Notamacropus eugenii: one gene and its partner. The protein of the gene in region 1 interacts with the protein of each later gene in a pairwise test. Links are inferred from orthologs where the notes say so. Each region holds a gene or a part of one and is shown on either strand. Other genes may lie near its edges.

Region 1 (10,579 bases):
GGAGGATGGACTGGAATGGAAACAGACTGAGGCAGGTAGACTCACCAGCTTTCTTTTTTTTTCAGTAATATCCAACTCTTCATGACCCCATTTGGGGTATTCTTGGCAAAGATTCTGGAGTTGTTTGCCATTTTCTTCTCTAGCGCATTTTACAGATAAGGAAACTGAGGCAAACAAAATTAAATGACTTGTCCAGGGTCAAACAGCTAGTGTCTAAGGTCAGATTTGAACACACAAAGATGAGTCTTCCTGACTCAAGGCCTGATACCCTATACACCCTATATACCCTATACATATAGTGGGCTATTGAAATAATACAAAATATAAGGTGATAAGTACATGCGCTAGATCAGTGGCAGTGTTGGAGCAGAGAAGAGGGCATACTTGAGAGATATTGTGAAAGTTAAGTTGACCGGCCTTGGCAACAGATTGGGATATGGGGGTGGGGCAGTTTAGGTAGTGGTGGGGTTTATGTGAGACATTGAGGAGTAAAAGATGACTCTTGGGCTGTATGTTTGAGTGTCTAGGAAAACAGTGATGTCCTTGACAAAAAATAGAGAAGTTTGGAGGAGTGCAAGGTTTGGGGGAAACATATGGAGCATTTATAATATTTATAAACATTTAGAAAAACCAGAATGTGCTTTAAAAAGAGCAAACCAGAAATGTAAGAAGATTAACCAATATAATCACATGAGAACTGGTTGAAGGAGCTGGGGATGTTTAGCCTGGAAGAGAAAATTTAGGGGAGATGTGATAGTTGTATCCAATTATTTGAAGGGCTAGCAAATGAAAAAGTAGTTAAGCTTGTTTTGTTTAGCCCCAGAAGGCAAAACTAGGAGTAATAAATAAATGATGAGAAGAGGTATATCTAGATTTGAAGTCAGGAAAAATTTCCAAATAATTAGAGCTATTCAAAGGGGCTGCTGGGTGGCATAGCGAATACAGTATCAGATCTGGAGTCAGGAAGACTTGTTTTCCTGAGTTCAAATCTGATCTTACGCCTATTAGCTGTGTGACCTTGGACAAGTCACTTAATGTAGTTTGCCTCAGTTCTACATCTGTAAAATGAGCTGGAGAAGGAAATGACAGACCACTCCAGTATCTGCCAAGAAAACCCTAAATGGGGTCACAGAGTCAGATGTGATGAAAATGGCTGAACAACAATGACAAAGTAAAGTGGGTTGGAGAGGGAATCAGCTCCCTTTAATTGAAGGTGCGGGGCTTTTGTGAAAGAAATTCTTGGCCAGATATAGGCTGGATTCCATGGCTCTGAAGTCGCTTATCAGCTCTGAGGTTTTCTATAAGCTTCATGGTAAGCACCATGTGTATATATCTATTATAGGCATATCTGTCATGAAGTGATTTTTTTTGGGGGGGGGGGGGGCTTTGGTAATACAAAGAAAACCACCTCTGTCAAATGCATTAATGTGTCTCTCCAAAGACAGTCTTTTCATTTAGCTGCAACTTCCTATCTACTTTACTATCTTTTATAGTAAGATTGTCAATATTGATGAGTCAGTTCCTCTAGGAGTATGTCAGCCCATTGGTAAATGAACATGGTGAGTCATCCCAGATTCACCTTGTCTGATTTTAACAAAGTTAATAAGCTAATAGAGTAAGGGAAATCTGTAGACATAGATTACCTAGATTTCAGCTAGCATTTTACAGAGCCTCTCATTCTATCTTTGTAGACAAGATAGAGATATGAGCTAGAGTTCATCATAGTCAGTTAGATACAGAATTGGTTGAATTAGTTGGGATGAAAGAGGAACCATCGATGTTTCAATGTCACCTTGGAGGGAGACATCTGATAAAATGACATGTAAATCTGTGCAAGGTCTTATGTTGGACAATGTTTTCATCATTGACTGGAATGAAGACACAGACACATATCAAGTTTTTTAATGACACAAAACTGAGATGGATAGAAGATCCAAAATTAGCTCAACAGTTTAGAATGCTAAGCCAAATATAATACAATAAAATTTAATGAGATATTTCTATACTTGAGATGCAAAGAATCAGTTTTAAATTTTAAAATTAGAATTAACTAAGACAGGAGAAATGACTAGAAATTAGTTCATTTTACAAGGAACTGGGGGGTTTTAGTAGAATGCAAGCTCAGTACCAGTTAGTGGTATGATATGTTAGTCAAAAAAAGCCTAAGGAATTTTAGTTTACATTAAGAGTGGCATAGCATACAGGACTAGCAAGGTGACAGTCTCACTGTGCTTTACCCTAGTTAGAATTCACCTAGAGTACTGTGTTCAGTTCTAGGTGCCATATTTTAGGAAGTGCATTGACAAACTAAAGTTTATCCAGAGAAGAATCATCAGGAAGTTCAATTCTTTTAAGGACAAGTTGAATGAAATGAGGGTACTTAATATGGAGAAGAGAAGACAGAATGCACCGATTATTTTCAGATATTTGAAGAACTGTCATTAGATTTGTTTTTATTTGTCCTCTAGGGTAAAACTAGGAATAATGCGTAGGAGTTGCAAAAAAAAAAAAAAGAAAGGCAGGCAGGCAGGCAGGCAGGAGGGAAGGAAGGAAGGAAGGAAGGAAGGAAGGAAGGAAGGAAGGAAGGAAGGAAGGAAGGAAGGAAGGAAGGAAGGAAGGAAGGATAGGAAAGGAAAGGAAAGGAAAGGAAAGGAAAGGAAAGGAAGGAAGGAAGAGAGGAAAATGCCCAGAAGAGACTATAAACCAGGTGGCACTCATGATACCAACAAAGTGATGCCCAAAAGAAAGAAAAGAGAGCAATATGATGGCATCACCAGAGAACAGCAGTAGCCTTGTATTATCAGGCGTTAAACTGAACACATACAAATCCTAGCCACATACTTTCCCTTACAAGTATGCTCTCCCATGTCTGAGATCTATAAATGTCCATTTTTCCTGTTGATGGTGAGTATATTTGAGGGAGAATGTGCTCCAATTTTAGAGGAGGATAATTCCATACCTTCTTTTCTTATTATGTTATTTTATTAAATACTTTTGCTTTGATCAAAATATGTCCCATTAGTTATAGCTCATGGAGTGGTTGCTATTCCATGAAAGTACCTAGAGTCAGGATATACTGGACAATACTTGTGAGCAAATGTACCCTCTAAGTGATAAATTAGTATCCAATATTTCTCTTGCCTCCCCCGTCTTAGCTATCATGATTCTTTGGGATAAGGTATATTCCTCCATAGCTTTATTCCAGTTATAGATCTCATTCCACCAATTCTTGGTGATACTTATGAGGTCAAAAATGACACCTTGAGCATGAACATCAATGGGGAATGGCTGAACAAGTTGTTGTATATAATTGTAATGGAATATTATTGTGTTATAAGAATGATGATTAGGATCATTTCAGAAAAACCTGGAAAGGACTTATATGAATTGATGCAAAGTGAAGTGAGCAGAACCAGGAGAACCTTGTACCCAGTAACAGCAATATTATACAATAAACATCTATGAATGACTTAGCTATTTTCAGCAATGCAATGATTCAACACAATCTCAAAGGACTCGTGATGCTGCTTCCAAAAAAAGAACTGATGACACCTAATAAAAACTAAAGCATACTATTTTTCTCTTTCTTTCTTCCTCTTTAGTTAGAGTTTCCTTCCACAAGGCTGTTGTGATGAAAGTTGTAACTATTTCAAGTACCCCAGCAAGATGATCTCTATCTGCAGAAATGAAGAGAAGTAGTGGAAGAGAGCGGAATCCAAACTAGATTTAGAGTCAGGACACTTGGATTTTAATCCCAACCACACATACTACCCACATGACCCTGGGATATTAACCTCCTCTCTCTGGAGCCCAATATTCTCATTGTAAAAAGAAAAGCTTGGACTAAAATGATCTCCAATGTTCCTTCTGGTCTTGTAACCCATAATAGGACAAGTACATGCTCCTCAGTGACCAAATAACATAATACCTGCTTCCAGTGGACATTTCTGTCAACAGCCAAGATCAGTGTCAACTGTCACTCTCTTCCAGCTTTAAAATTACATGATTCTGTAACTTGCTGCTACAAAACCATTTTCCATATTCAGTTGGTCCTGTTCTGAAATGAAGAATTTTGGCAATCAACGTGCTCCCTCTAGCTCCAAATTCACTGAATATTTCAAACCCCGAAATGAAATTTTCTGACAGCATGATAGAGATGAGCCGATAAGTTGAACAAAAATTGTTCACCATATAAGAACATGCTAGAAGGTAAGCACAGCTGAAAGTATCACTGCATTATCCAGGAGACAACAAACACACAAATACATACACATATAGATACAACACACATATTCCTATGTATGTGTGTATATAAACATATATGTGTGTGTATGCATATATACATATATGTGTATATACATACACATATAAAACTAACCATGTGTTGGACAATGAATATTGCTGGAAAAAAATATAGAAACAATGATATGATTAGTAATGAAGCTAACATAATGTTGGGCTTCATTATTAAAAGTAAAAATGAAGGAAGTGAAAATATTACGTTTAGTCTGGGAGCCATTTTTAAAGGAGAGATCATTGGTGTATGAGAATGAGTAGGTGAACTTTATAGCTTGATATAAGGTAACATTTCCTAAGAACTAGATCTGTCCAGAAGTTGAATAAGCTACCTTGGGAAGTGGTGGGTCTCCTTTGGTGGAAATTTTCAGACAAAAGCTGCATGACTACTTTGGGTTATTTTAGAGGAGATTCTTACCCAGGAACTGCTTAGAATAGACGTCCATGAAGGTTCATTTTAACTCTAAATTTTTTTGTTCTATGATTCTAATCTCCTCACTTTCATATTCTTTGCCTTATCCACCTTATATAACATTGCCAAACTGATCTTCCTAACGAATAGACCTGATCACATTTCTCTTTCACAAAACCTTCTATAGTTTCCCATAGATTCCCATCTATAAATTTCAAACTGCTTATTCTAGAATTCATGACCCTCCATAACCCTGCTCCAACCTACATTCTTGTTCTTACCTTGCTATTCATCTCATTCAAATGTCCTCTACTCCAACTAACTGGGGATGGTTATAGTCCCTTGAATATAGCCTGATGTATCTAGCACTTGTGACTATTGTTCAAAGTATTTCTTGTGATGAGAATGTCCTCTCTCCCTTAAATCTGTCAGTTGAAATTCCGTTTTTCCTTTAAGGTCCAGCTCAGATATCACTTTATCTAGGTATTCTTCCTTGGGCTCCCTCAGTTAGATGTAACCCATCTCTCCTGTGAACTTTCATAGTCTCTGTTTTCTACTCCTTTTACTGATTTTTTGTATATACTTCTTCTATACAGCCTACATTTAGAATATAAATTCCTCAAGGGCAGAGACTTGCGTATCATTATGTGTCTTTGTGTCCACCGTGACTCCTTGGGAAGTGACTTTCACATAGTAGAAATACAATCAATAAATATCTGTCCAACTGAAATGAAACATATATTTGGATAACAACTACATCATTATTAAACACATTTGAGTGAGATACATCACACTGCTTTATCTCACTGGATTCTCAAAACATAATTTGGGCCCCAAAAAGAATGAGAAAGGAGAAACGTAAAGAGATCGAATGCCATTGTCATAGTGGGACTTTGTCTCCCTCTTCATCCAGAGCTTACTGGGAGTGTGATGATGTCATAGTTGTTGCCCTCTCTGTCACGCCAGCTGTAAACAAGGCGGGGTGGGGGGAGGTCATCAGGGAGCAGATTTCTTTGAAATGCCTTTTCAACTGAAGACTCCTTTGCAGTAAGGTGTGCAATGTGAGCTCAGGTTAACTTGAAAGGTGGGAAGATGACTGCATTAATAGGCAGTGGAAGCGGGCTCTTTGGGCCTCAGTGGCCCTTTGATGACATCCCAAAGGCCGTAACCAGGTAAGGAAGGCTCGTGAGAAAGCAGAGGCTATTGATGTTGAAAGGTTCTGAGTGTGTTTGAAGGACTGGTTCTTCTGTTATCTTAAGCCTCAGATGCTTCCCAGGCACCTGTAGTTTTCAGACAGCAGAATGTAAACTCATTGAGGACTTTTTGTTTTCTTGTCTAAGCACTCACGTACTGAAGGCCCTCAATGAAGGCGTGTTGAATTGAAGTAAATTGAATTTCTCTTTAAGCTCAAGTTATCTGTCCCATGAGGAAATAATTGACGAGTCAATTAAAATACTTTTTTATTATGTCTTTTCATTGTTACTTAACACACAGACACACACACACAGAGTCTATATCTATACCAAAAAAATTTAATTTCACCTCACTAGACGTGTCAGCAAATTGTTCTTTCTTGTCCTATACGTCTTCTGTCTTCCGTGATACTGTCAAGTCTTCACTTTCCAATCGCCTAGTTGCTCTTGATTTTCTTGTAGTTTATAACACTTCTAGGGCAGCTAGGTGGTGCCATAGCGCATCAAGAGCCAGGCTTGAGTCAAGAAGACTCTTCTTCCTGAGATCAAATTGGGCTTCAGATACTTAGTAGCTGTGGGACTCTGGACAAGTCATTTAACCCTGTTGGCCTCAAGGTCTTCATCTGTAAAATGAGCTGGAGAAGAAAATGGCAAACCACTCCAGTATGTTTTCCAAGAAAACCCCCAATGGGTCAGACATAATTGAGAAAACTGACAACAGCAACAATGTAACATCTCTAAATGGATCTTGTGTCAATTTCTGATCCCTGGGACAACATCTGGTCATGGCTCTCAAGTCTCTTTCACCAGTTAAATAACCCCATCCTTTTTATATGTTCTGATATTCAATCCTTCCCCATTTCTTTTCCTACCTACCCTCCACATTTTCCCAACCACATTAACCTTCTTGCTGCCCTTTATACTTTGGTCTTCCTTTTCCATCTCTTCATTTTGAACAAGACTGCCCAAAGGGCACAGAATAGGGTATTTATTTCCATCCTCTTTAAGGAAGGAGTTCACTCCTATCCTTTAAATCACTGCAAAAGTTTTCCAAAAGTAACAGCAAGCAGTCTTCAGTCATCAATACAATTCTTAACTCTCCTCTGGGATGTTCTTGAAATTAGTGTATTTATATACACTTAGGCTGATCGCACGTTTGTCACGTAAGCTTCCTGAAGAGTAGGGACTGTATCTAATTTTTGTTATATATCCCAAAGCACCTAAGGCTACCAGTACCCTGCATCCTGTGAATATTTACTGACTGACTTAACTGAGTTGTTGAGATCAAAAGAATGGGGATGTTAAAGGAGCTCAGAACTAAGACTACAGAATAATTATAGCTTAATTTCATTGTAAAGTACTAAAGGACAGGAACTATGCCTGTTTCAGCTTACTTGGGTTTTGTGCCCAGTGAGTCATATGGGTATTTACAAAAAATTATTTGACTATGAAAACATATAATTTATATAAAAAGAAAGTAAAAATTTTACCCACTCTCTCTGCCAGTTCCTTTTCAGAGATGTCATTCTTCTCTTGTGATTATCAACCTAGACAAACTTACATATAATTTCTCTCTGTCTCTCTCCCTCTCTCAAATTGATTTCCATGATGACTAGATAAAATTAAAACTTCACAAATACTTTTATTTGTAAGCGTATTTTCCCACAGCCTCTCTAACAATAGTCATTTTCCTTTCTTGTCTTTTTTGCCAATCCGAAGGGTTGGAGATAGGATCTCAAAGTTACTTTAACTTGAATTTACTTTATTAAGTGATTTCAGGAATTTTATTCATGTAATTATTGATAACTTGGATTTATTCTTTTGAAAACTGTCTATAGCTTTTAACCATTTATTTATTGGGAGATGGGTGCTGTTCTTAGGAATAAATATCTTGAATATGAGACCTGTATCAGGGAAATTTCCTGCGAAGATTTGTCCTTATTTAACTGTTTTCTTTCTGATCCTATCTGCACGGGTTTTGTTGTGCAAAACCTTTTAAATTTTCCATAATCAAAATTGTCCACTTTTTCTTTTGACATCTTTGTCCCTTGCTTGGTCATGATCTTTCTCTCTCCCATAGGCCCAACCCAACAGGAAATTTCTTCCTTGCTCCTCTCAATTTGTTTATAATGTTAAGCTTATGTCTAAGTCATATTCATTAGGAGCTTATCTTGGTTACATGGTGTAAGATGTTGGTCAATGTCTAATTTTTGCTAAACAGTTCATATTTTTCCAGTAGGTTTTTTTTTTCCTTCTTTTCAAATAGTGAATCCTTTCCCCAGCATCTAGTCCTTGGATTTATCAAACTCTATGGTACTGTGTTCATTTGCTTCCATATGTTGTATGCCCAATCTGTTCCACTAATCAGTGAACATTTATTAAGTGCCTATTTTGTATCTCCTAGTTTTTAAACCTTTACCAAATAATTTTGATGATTACAGATTTGTAGTTTAATTCCATCTTGAGGAAAGAGGAAAAGCTTTTCCTTGTAATTGCATGTAATTTTGTTTAATGCTAATCTCCCTTACTTCCCACTTTTTTTATTACTTCCTTTGAGATTCTTGCCTTTTTATTCCTCCAGATAAATTGTTGTTTTTTTCTATGTTTATAAACACACACACGCAGCTATATCACAGGTTTTTAATTCTTTCTTATAATCATCCTTACATTCTTCATGTCATGCTCCTCCCTCTGATGTTGGAGTTTTTAAATTTGTTTTGGGGGGGCGGAGCCAAGATGGCGGAGTAGAAAGACGCACATACACATAGCTCTGAACCCACAACCCATAGAATGGCTACAGGGAAGTAACTCACGGCGAATTCCGCACCCAGAGGCCACGGAACATTGGAGCGAGGGAGATTTCGGTTCCAGAGAGACCTGCAAACCTCTTGCGGGGGGTCCTTCGCACTGCGGACTGGGCGCCGGGACTGGGAGCTGAGCGCAGCCCTGCCGCGGCCGCGGCACCGAGAGGAAAAGATCCGAGCAGGCTTCACAGACAGGATCTCCAGTGGCCACGCGGGTCCCTCCACCCACAGAGGGATCTGCAAACCTCTCGCAAAAGGTCCGTCGCGCTGCAGACACAAAGCTCAGCCGAGACCTGCTGCGGCCACGGCTGCGGCACCGAGAGAAACAGATCCGAGCAGGCTTCAGGGACGGGATCTCCAGCGGCCGCACAAGTCCCTCCACCCACAGGTGACAGGGGTGGGTGAGAGAGTCTCTTTGGCGGGTCGAGAGGGGAGTGGGGTGCCCCCATAATTCAGGCCCCCCCGGGAGGTAGAAGCTGAGAGGCGGCTGCAGACAGGGGCTCCCCAAGCAGGCGGGAGCCTGAATCCATTGTGGAAGGTCTGTGCATAAACCCCCTGAGGGAACTGAGCCTGAGAGGTGGCCCTGCCCCGACCTCAGCACCAGAACATAATCTCATACTGAATAGCAGCCCTGCCCCCGCCAAAAGCCCTGAGGCTGGAAGCAGCATTTGAATCTCACACCCCAAACGCTGGCTGGGAAGATCAGGAGGCGAGGTGGGTGTGAGGAGAATATTCAGAGGTCAAGTCACTGGCTGGGAAAATGCCCAGAAAAGGGAAAAGAAATAAGACTATAGAAGGTTACTTTCTTGGCGAACAGGCATTTCCTCCCTTCCTTTCTGATGAGGAAGAACAATGCTTACCATCAGGCAAAGACACAGAAATCAAGGCTTCTGTGTCCCAGCCCACCCAATGGGCTCAGGCCATGGAAGAGCTCAAAAAGAATTTTGAAAATCAAGTTAGAGAGGTAGAGGAAAAGCTGGGAAGAGAAATGAGAGACATGAAGTCAAAGCATGAACAGCAGATCAGCTCCCTGCTAAGGGAGACCCAAAAAAATGTTGCAGAAATTAACACCTTGAAAACTAGCCTAACTCAATTGGCAAAAGAGGTTCAAAAAGCCAATGAGGAGAAGAATGCTTTCAAAAGCAGAATTAGCCAAATGGAAAAGGAGATTCAAAAGCTCACTGAAGAAAATAGTTCTTTCAAAATTAGAATGGCACAGATGGAGGCTAATGACTTTATGCAAAACCAAGAAATCACAGAACAAAGAGAGAAGAATGGAAAAATGGAAGATAATGTGAAATATCTCATTGGAAAAACAACAGACCTGGAAAATAGATCCAGGAGAGACAATTTAAAAATTATGGGACTACCTGAAAGCCATGATCAAAAGAAGAGCCTAGACATCATCTTTCATGAAATTATCAAGGAAAACTGCCCTGAGATTCTAGAACCACAGGGCAAAATAAATATTCAAGGAATCCACAGAACACCGCCTGAAAGAGATCCAAAAAGAGAAACTCCTAGGAACATTGTGGCCAAATTCCAGAGTTCCCAGGTCAAGGAGAAAATACTGCAGGCAGCTAGAAAGAAACAATTCAAGTATTATGGAAATACAATCAGGATAACACAAGATCTAGCAGCCTCTACATTAAGGGATCGAAGGGCATGGAATAGGATATTCCAGAAGTCAAAGGAACTAGGACTAAAACCAAGAATCACCTACCCAGCAAAACTGACTATAATACTTCAGGGGAAAAAATGGTCTTTCAATGAAATAGAGGATTTTCAAGTATTCTTGATGAAAAGACCAGAGCTGAAAAGAAAATTTGACTTTCAAACACAAGAATGAAGAGAACCATGAAAAGGTGAACAGC
Region 2 (10,069 bases), about 15 Mb from region 1:
CCCTGGTTCTAGAATATCAGGGCAGTTTTCCTTGATAATTTCATGAAATATGATGTCTAGGCTCTTTTTTTGATCATGGCTTTCAGGTAGTCCCATAATTTTTAAATTGTCTCTCCTGGATCTATTTTCCAGGTCAGTTGTTTTTCCAATGAGAGATTTCACATTATCTTCGATTTTTTCATTCTTTTGGGGGGTTTTTTTGTGATTTCTTGGTTTCTCATAAAGTCATTAGCCTCCATCTGTTCCATTCTAATTTTGAAAGAACTATTTTCTCCAGTGAGCTTTTGAACCTCCTTTTCCATTTGGCTAATTCTGCTTTTTAAAGCATTCTTCTCCTCATTGGCTTTTTGAACCTCTTTTGCCAATTGAGTTAGCCTATTTTTGAAGGTGTTATTTTCTTCAACCTTTTTTGGGGTCTCCTTTAGCAACGTGTTGACCCACTTTTCATGCTTTTTCTTGCATCTCTCTCATTTCTCTTCCCAGTTTTGCCTCCACCTCTCTTACTTGATTTTCAAAATCCTTTTTGAGCTCTTCCATGGCCTGAGACCATTGAATATTTATTTTGGATGTTTGGGATACAGAAGCCTTGACTTTTATGTCTTTCCCTGATGGTAAGCATTGTTCTTCCTCATCGAAAGGATGGGAGAGGATATCTGTTCATCAAGAAAGTAACCTTCTATGGTCTTATTTTTTTCCCATTTTGGGGGCATTTTCCCAACCAGTTACTTGACTTTTGGGTCCTTTGTCAAGAGTAGGGTATTCTCTGGGAATCTGTAAAATCTCAGTTCCTCCAAGGTGGCACAATCAAGCGTGTACTGGTCTGGGTGTAGGGAGTGATTTTTGTGCCCAGAATCTTAGCAGTTACCTCTCCACAGCCACCTGGCCTCCAGTTCTTCCAAGTCAGCACTGGGGGCTGATTTTCAGATAAGCTAGATGGGCAGGGCTGCCATTCAGTGTGAGACAAAGACCAGCTCCCCCAGGGCCTCCACACAGGGCTGAGGCAAGAGTCAGCTCCTCAGTGCCCCCAGGGTTTTTATGCTCCAACAATGGATGTGGCTGCTGCGCCTGCCAATGTGACCTCTGTGGCAGCTGCCTAAGGCCAGAGATATGGAAAGGCCCTTCTCCCTTCCTGGCCAACTGAAAAAACCCCGTCACTGACCTTTGGCGCCTGTGGGTTGAGGGATCTGTGAACCTGCTACTGCTGTGACTGGGGATTCGCTGCTACTGTGACTGGAGATTCTGCCCCTGAGGTGTCCTCCTCCCAGAGCAGTACTGCACGGCCAAGGCTGGGCTGGGCTGTGCTCCATGTCCTGTATAACAGATGTTTCCCATGGGCCTTTCAGGTCACCCTGGGCTAGAAATCTCCTCCACTCTCTCGTTCTCCACTTCTGCTGCTCCAGAATTTGTTGAGAGTCCCTCTCTACAGGTATTTTACGGGCTGTGTGGGGAAAGCCTCCGTATCTATGTCTTTCTACTCTGCCATCTTTCTCCTTATACCAGTAAGATCACAAATCTTGTTCCTATCACTAGAATATACTCAAATGAACATAATCCTCCATATGTGGTCTGGCCACAATAGAGTATAGTGAGACTATTATTTCTCCTGACTTGTTCAATATAGTTTTTATTAATGCTGTTTTAGCATATTAGGTCTCTTAGCAACTACATCATACCATCGGCTTACAGTAAGCTTGTGGTCAACTAAAACTTACCACTTCATAGATCTTTTTTCATATGAACTGCTGCCAAGGCAGGCATAGCTCCTTTAGATTTATGGACCCTAGAGGAATGGCAGAGTTATTAGAAAGGATCTACAAAAAGGCTATCAGCCATGGGCATTTTGATCTTTAACAAATAAACCTTCTGTTGACTGAATATGTCTCACATGTATATGTGTATATGTGCTCTTTTAAAAAATTATAATTAATCTTTTTTATATCATCTATATTTTGTATTATGCTATTTGAATATGTGTACATGCTGTTGTGATAAAATATAAATTTATTTAAAAGCTATTATGTCTTTTCTTAATCAACTGATACTGAGTATATATTTTATCAAAGGGATCCTCACACTTGAAAAGATTGGGAACCACTTTACTAGGCTTTGAAAGTCAGTTTATTTCCCAACATCATTCCTTATTGAGTGTCTCTGCACCATTTATGGGTGGGGGCTAGGAAAGAGTAGAGAGAAGAGAGATTCCAGATGGGAGGGCAGCTGACTAAAAAGAAGACTTCATTCTTCTGGTTCAGGCAGAGGAGAGGAGAAAGGAGGAGAGGGGAAGATGGGAGAGGGGAGAGGGAAGGGGAGGGGAGGGAAAGGGGAAGAGAGAAGGGAGGGAGAGAGAAAAGAAAATAGAGATATGTTGTTTCAGTCTTGTCTGGCTCTTCATGACCCCATTTGGGGTTTTCTTGGCAAAGATACTGGAGTGATTTGCCATTTCCATCTCTAGCATATTTTACAGATAAGGCAAACAGGATTAAGTGACTTGTCCAGGGTCACACAGCTAGTAAATGTCCAAAGTCAGATTTGAACTCAGAAAGATGAGTCTTAGAAGGGGTCCATAAGTTTCACCAGACTGCCCAAGGGGTCTGTGACACAATAAAAGGCTAAGAGCCCCTGGTTGAGTCTAATCCCTTCATTTTATAAATAAGGAAACTAGACCCAGAGAGGTAAGTGCTAGAGTTGTAATCCAAATCTCCTGTCATCAAATCTAGCACTCTTTCTACCACACAACATGGTGGTTGAGAGTTCCTAGGATTTATGTATTTTGGTTCCATAAGTTTCCCAGCTTTTCCACAAACACAGAAAGAAATGGGGTGTACTTGCTTTATAACTGACCATATTCATCCTACAGGGACCTTAGTATATTGTAGATAGTAAAACCCCATTAATAGACCTGGAATCCCTTAATTCAAAATTAATGAGTTATTTGTTCAGGAATTGAGCAAAACACTAACCTTTCTGTTTAATTATGATAAATTTATTTCCTAAGCAAAGGAATAGTGTGCTCAAAACTGTAGAAGATAAGCTGTTTTCAACTTTTAAAACCAATTTAGCAATGCTTATTTGCTTATAGTTAATATGCTCATTATAAGTTATTCTTATTTATTTATTAAATCAGTTTCCTCGTCTGTCAAATGAGCTGGAAAAGGAAATGGCAAAACTCCAGTATCTTTGAAAACCCCAAATGGGGTCATGAAGAGCCAGATATGACTGAAACAAGCCAACAACAACAAATTCCCTCAGTTATTTCATTTCAGTACTGTTTTGCTATATTGATCTTTTAAGGACAATAGGAAAAAGATTCAGATTTTCAAGGACAGAGTTAACTTCATTGGCCATCAATGTAAATGGCTCTATAAACTTTCCAATTCTTCTCCAGTGGCTCCAATTTTTCTTAGTAGGGGGATAGGAAATTTTAATTTGTAGTTGTCATGCCCTTAACCCTGACCACCTGATGATCAAGATTTTGCAAGTATTCCCCAGAAAAGGAAATGTTAGAAATAGAATGAGGGAAGTAATCTCAGAAGTGAAGCATGATCCTATGACCCTATAACAAATTACAGATGACCTTTGCCAACTGTGTGATATGACATGAGCCAATCACTCCCCAATACTACAACTTGTACCCAGTCCTTGGGTAGCTTGGTAGCATAGTCAATCACAAAGGACAGCAATTAGATAGATAGATAAACAGACAGACAGACAGACAGAGAGACAGAGAGACAGAGAGACAGACAGACAGACAGACAGACAGATAGATAGATAGATAGATAGATAGATAGATAGATAGATAGATAGATAGATAGATAGATGATAGATAGATAGGTGGATGGAGTGGATAGATAAGAAAAAGAAAGAGAAAAAAGAAATATGGATAGATAGATGGATGGATGGATGAATGTATGTATGGATGAAACATTTGTTAATCACTTAATATGTGCAGGTACTCTGCTAAGCAAATAAGACAGACCCTACCTTCAATGAAACTATGTTTTAATGAGGGGAGACAACATATAAAGGGAATCTGGACATCAGAAGAAGGGGGTACATGAAGTGGCACAGATGCCTGCATCTATCTGTTAGATCCTACTATCCTGGGGGGCACAGTCCAAGGCTCCAGTGAAAGGGGAATCAGGTTAATGGCTAGAATGCAGACAGCCAGGTATGAAGATAGCTGAGATGTACTTATAGAGTAGAAAGAAGGCTGACTTTGGAATAAAAAGTCTTGGGTTCAAATTCCAGCTCTGCCACTTAACTACCTGGGTGATATTGGGTTGGTCACTTCATATCTCCAGACTTCATCAACTTCCTCATCTAAAGGAAATTGGACTAAGTGGCATGCAAAGCCCCTTCCAGTTCTAAACCTAGGATTCTATGAAACTAGGAGTGGGAAACATCCACAGAATGATGGAAACTCATTAACAGACACAAAGAAAAAGAAACCCCAAAACACCTGCCCATACTGCTGTGCTATCTCTTGAAATTGTCTTTCTCATCTCCTCTCCCTTTATTTCCAAGGATCCTATGGTTCTAATGCAATATTAGGGAAGACAGTTTTTGAAACACTAGTAGCAAACATTCAACATCTCCCTGTTTAAATGTGCTCATTGAAGGCAGTTTGAATATGAGCAGGAGTCCAAGGTAATCTCCAAAGCTCTTGTCTTTGTCTAGTTCCTTCTCCCCTCTGTGGTTCAGCTTTCCTTGCTGGACTAACAACAGTCATGTTTAGCTTCCAGGATTTCCATAAACATTCTGAGTTTTCATAAAAGAGAGCAGAGCCTGAAAAGGCTCTAATATCATTTTATGGAGAGAGCTAAAGAAACTATTATTCGTTGGAACAAAGAATGACTGAAAATGGGCATCCCAAGCTGAGATGGTGATGCTCTAAAGATGGAGGAAGTTCCTTAGAATCATGGATTGCTTTTTTAAATTAAATTTCATTTTATTTTTAGATCTGCATGCTATGCCTTCCACCTGTACACTCCTCCCCATCCCACTGAGAAAGTAATAAAACTAAAACCCCCTTTATAAGCATGTATAATCAAGAAAAACACATTTTTGTATTGAGCATGACCAAAAAAAGGTCTCTGTGCTCTTGGTCTATCACCTCTCCATCATGAGGCTGGCAGCAGGTTTCGTCCTGAATCTCTGGAATTGTAGTTGGTTACTAAGTCTTTCAAAGTAGTTTGTTGTCATCATATAGATTGTTCTGGGTTTGCCTACTTCGTTGCATATCAGTTCCTATGATTCTTCTCTGGTTTCTCTGAAACTACCCTTTTCTTCAGTTCTTATAATATAATAACATTCCACCATATTCCCGCACCATAACTTATTTAACCATTTCTCAATGGATGGGCATGCCCTCAAGTTACCAATTCTTTGCCATCACTAAAAAAAGCTGCTATAAATATTTCATGAATATGACTTTTAAAAGAGCTCAGGGGAACTTTTGACTGAAGTATCACATCCAATCCCCTCCTTTTGCAGATGGGGAAACTGAGGAAGTAACTGATCCAAGGTCACACAGCTAGAAAGTGACAGTGCATGGCCCAGAAACACTAGTAAAAAGGTAAGACTTAGTTGGAGGGACTGATCATGGCAGAGCAGAATAGTTTAGAGGAACTGATCCATTGCAGTCAACACTTGTACTTCCTCTCTTTCCCCACCCCTCCCCTCCTCTCCACCCCCACCTCCCTTCTTCCCCTTGCCTCTCAGCAGGGTTACTAAAAGATGAGGACACTTCCTGACATGCTTACAACACAGAGAAGTCAGCTTGGAGAAGACTAGATCTTCTTCTGAGACCCACTTGAAAGGAAAAAATAAGACACTTGGTCCTACCCAGTCAAGAATAAGGGAGCCGAAGAGAGACCGTAGGGAACAGGCCCTGGTGGGAAAGACTTCCTCTCCATTGAGTGCTTTCTCTTCTGCCCCTGTTCTGCCTAATCCAAGTTGCTCTTTGGGCACAGTCTGGGTCTTTGCCTCCCAATTCTCATCTGGCCATGTCCTTAGCTGAGGTGATACGCCTTTGGAATGAAGGGGTGCTGGCAGCAGACAAGAAGGACTGGCATGGAGCCTTAAAGGCCTTCACTGGAGTTCAGGACCCCCATTCCCGGATTTCCTTCAACATAGGCTGTATCTATATGATTCTGGAAAACCTGCAGGAGGCAGAAAAGGTAAGTGAAAGACTCTTACTTCTGCTTTGTGCTTTCGTGGTATCTTCATGCACAATCATGTCTCCTGATGTGGGATGGTCTCTTCTCTTGCCCACCTCCAAATTGGATCCATCCATTGAAATCTGTCCTCTCTAGGAAGCCTTCTTTGACTATTCCCCCTTCTCTGAACTCTTCTTGTGCCACTTGGAGCAGACAACTTAGCATATGTTTTTAAACTATCTCATGTTAATCTCTAATTCATTTGACAATTAAATGGCTATCATATACCAAACACTCTACCAGGATGAGAGACCCACACAGTTTAATCTTTCATGCCAATCAGTACCATCTTCCCAACTAGATAATAAGTTGCCTGAGAAGATGGATGTGAATCAAATTGTGAAAGATTTTAATGTTATATGTAAATTATACTACCTCCTCCACAAAGTCTTTCCTTGTAGTTATCTATGTATGTGTCATATTCCTCTACTAGAGTAAACTGAATACAGGCAGGTCTATGTTATCATGGAGTGGATGAAAGAGTTTAGTCATGAAAGATCTGGTATTTACAGATAGTAAATGGACATATTGGTATGGATGAATATATTTGACTTCTCTCAGTTGTTGGCCCAAAACCTTAACTAGGATAGGGCCCCTTAGGCATTTGCCCCAGTGTGCCATCTTCCAGGAAAATATACTTTTGGGGGACAGGGGTGCGCACATATTTTCTCCATACTGCAACCTGGAGACAAGCATCCCTATGTCTAATGGAGACCTGTGTTCTGAAACTTTGAAGTCTTTGTTGGCTTCAGGATAAGGTGGAACCCGACTCCCTCACCCAGTACCACCTTCAGGAACATGAGGCCGGTGATCTTCTTGAGTCTCATAGCAACTCATAGAATTCATATGAGCTCCACAACGGAGGGAGAGGAAAATTGATTACCAGCTTGGGGTGAGGGGATAGAGAGTTAGGATCAGCAACGGTTTCAGGGAGGAGCTATCTCAGTGATGTCAAGCATTAAATTTATGCACAGATAAGTAGGTCAGGTAGTCAAACAAGTGACCCCAGAGGCAATCCACAAATAGATTCTAGTTCTGATATCTATATGTGCTGGTTGGAGATAAGAATATAAACAGATATGCTTCAAGGATAAAGAGTGGATTTCTTAGTAAACGGCAGTTGGTCCAAAGGACAGATAGGATGCACAAGAGATAGTGAGCCCTCCTGGAAAAAAAGTGTGTAGACAAGGAAAAAGTAGAAAGTTAGGGAGAGAATACAAGGACATCTATACTTACTGGTGATAGTTTTAGAGTTTACCCCTATGAGGTGCTTTTTGTCAAAAGCTTAGCAACAATGGAGAAGGTTGGAATGGAACGTTTGTGTGTGTGTGTATACATATATGTGTGTATACACATGCATATATACATATACACATGTGTATATATGCATGTGTGTACATATATGTGGATACACATGCATACATATATGTTTGTATGTGTATATATCCCTATTTTCCTTCTACTCCTAGTTTTAAAAAATCTTGAACTTTATTTCTCCTCTTCCTCCTCTTCTTCCTCCACCTATTGTCCTTCTAACTCCTTGTCTTTCTTGATATTCCCTTCTGACTTTGTGCCTTTGTCATCCCCAGAGGTAGCCATAAAATCTGGCTCCCTTTGCCCAGCCTCCAGATAGCTCTCTTCCAGACACCAGCCATCCTCAGCTCTCAGCCTAAGGTGACTGCCTTAACTCTTATCACCAGCTTTTTACTCTTACAAACCTATACACAAAAACACTTTCTCTTTCTTACAGGCTTTTACTGGGAGCATAAACCGAGACAAACATTTAGCAGTGGCTTATTTCCAACGAGGGATGGTCTTTTATAGGATGGAGAAGTAAGTCTTTGATATCACACAATGTTGGGAATGACATGAGGGTACCAGGAGGGATGTGGGTTTTGCTCTGTGTTCACTAAAAGTTTTTCCTAGTTTTATATCAAGAAGTTTGACTCTAGACTGAATGAAATATGAGTAATTAAGCAGAGTTCACATGTCTATAGTTTTGCAAAGTCCTTTCTTCATAGTAACCCTCCGGGAGGATAGGTGGTTCAAGAGTTATTATTTCTATTTTACAAAAGAAGAAACTGAGACTCAGAGAAGTTAGATGACTTTCCAAGATCATATAGGCAGTAAGCATCAGAGCTGGGGCTCAACATTGGGGCCTGCTAAATTCAGATTTAGTATCCTTCCCACTACAGCCTGCTGCCTCTCTTGTCATTATGCAGTAAACTCAGACACGGTCAAACCTCGACAGAGCATATTGTGATAGATACTGCTGCTTCAGACACGGGAAGACCGGACTCCAAGTCTCTCCACAGATATATGCTGTCTGAATGACCCCGAGGCAGCTCACCTACCCTCTCAGTAGTAACCTAATTCAGTTCTCTAACATTGTAAATTAGAGGAAGTTGCTTATCTGGATTATTAGAGGGAGCTTTCTTACTGGGAGTTTCCTATGCCAAGGAAATTATAGGACCAATAAAATAAACAAATAACTATTGAAAATATTTCTATAGGGCTAATATCAATGCTATGGTAATAGGTATTATTACCACTTCCGATTGGTAAGGTTGGGCAGTGAATCGAGTGCTGGATACGGAGTCAGGAAGACCTGATCTCAAATATTTATGTAATCCTGGACAATTCACTTCACCTCTGTTTGCCTCAGTTTTCTCATCTATTAAATGATGATAATACTGGAATCTTCTCCCCTCCACCCAGGGTTGTTGTGAGGATCAAATGAGATATTATTTGGAAAGTGCTTTGAAAACCCTAAAGTATTATATTATGCATATACATACACACACACATATAAATATATATCTGTTATTATTGTTTGTGGGAATGTTTTGGGGAATGTTATAACCACATCTGTAGTAGACCTATGTTTTAATGAGGTCTGGCATAAAAACTCTTGAAAACTATGTCTCACTTCAGTCAACATCTGCTTTTAAGAATCCCACTTAAAGTTCAAAAAAAACGGTTTTTAATTGTTTGCTTCAGAGGGTTTGCTTCAGAAGCAGTCTGTAAAAGGCAGCTGTTGCTAGGGGCAACATCATCTACAAATTTCTACAAAGAGGCAAAGATCTTGAAGGGTCTTTTTTTTTATGAGAAAAGGAGACAGAGAAGACAGTTCATGTGGAAAGAAACATTTGAGTGGAAATACAGGTGCTAGGCATGAGGGCTTCTGCCCTTTCAGAATGATACTCCACATGCTTGGTGTTCTCTCTGTTCTTTGATTACTCCAGAGGGAATCCATAGAGAGAGCCAAAGGGAGCACAGGACACGTCTTCCAGCTGACTCCAACTAGGAAGATAAAGTAAAGCCATTCCTCTCATCAGCTCTAGTCATTTTATCAGGGGGAACAGACCGTTTGTGAAAGTGATGGAGTGAAACCACAGGCCCTTCAGAGGGACTTCTGACAGTGAATCATCCTGAAGACCCCAAGCATCAGAGAAATTGGGTTCAGTCAGGACAAGTTGGAACAGAATATTCTCATCAAAGTCTGGGGAAAAGAGAGGGGGAAGGAAATCAATATTTGTTAAGTGCCTACTATGTGCCAGATGTGTTACAAAACTTATCTCATTTGATCTTCATAACAACCCTGTAAGGTGAGTGCTATTATCATTCCTATTTTACAGTTGAGGAAACTGAGGTAGACAGAGGTTAAGTGACTTACCCAGAATCACACAGCTAGTAAAAATCTGAGGTCAAATTTGAATTCAGATCTTCCAGACTCAGGGCCAGTGCCCTATCTTCTACACCATCTGGCTACCAGGTCTCAATTAAGATGTGATGAATAACAATGAAACAGCAGTTAGTGGATAGAGCACTGGGGACAAGAGGACCTGAAT

What was found.
Region 2: the proteins of KIFAP3 (region 1) and NCF2 interact in binary tests that used the Homo sapiens proteins (3 or more experiments, as listed by UniProt). The two-hybrid records come from large-scale screens. The link is inferred for Notamacropus eugenii from reciprocal best matches to the Homo sapiens genes KIFAP3 and NCF2.

The regions. Positions count from the first base shown.
Region 1 is NC_092873.1:476,271,958-476,282,536, forward strand, and holds the start of KIFAP3 (kinesin-associated protein 3), read left to right. Parts: upstream 1-5,715; 5' UTR 5,716-5,800; coding exon 5,801-5,880; intron 5,881-10,579. UniProt on the Homo sapiens protein: Involved in tethering the chromosomes to the spindle pole and in chromosome movement. Binds to the tail domain of the KIF3A/KIF3B heterodimer to form a heterotrimeric KIF3 complex and may regulate the membrane binding of this complex.
Region 2 is NC_092873.1:461,482,189-461,492,257, forward strand, and holds the start of NCF2 (neutrophil cytosol factor 2), read left to right. Parts: upstream 1-5,739; 5' UTR 5,740-6,005; coding exon 6,006-6,179; intron 6,180-7,968; coding exon 7,969-8,051; intron 8,052-10,069. UniProt on the Homo sapiens protein: Subunit of the phagocyte NADPH oxidase complex that mediates the transfer of electrons from cytosolic NADPH to O2 to produce the superoxide anion (O2(-)).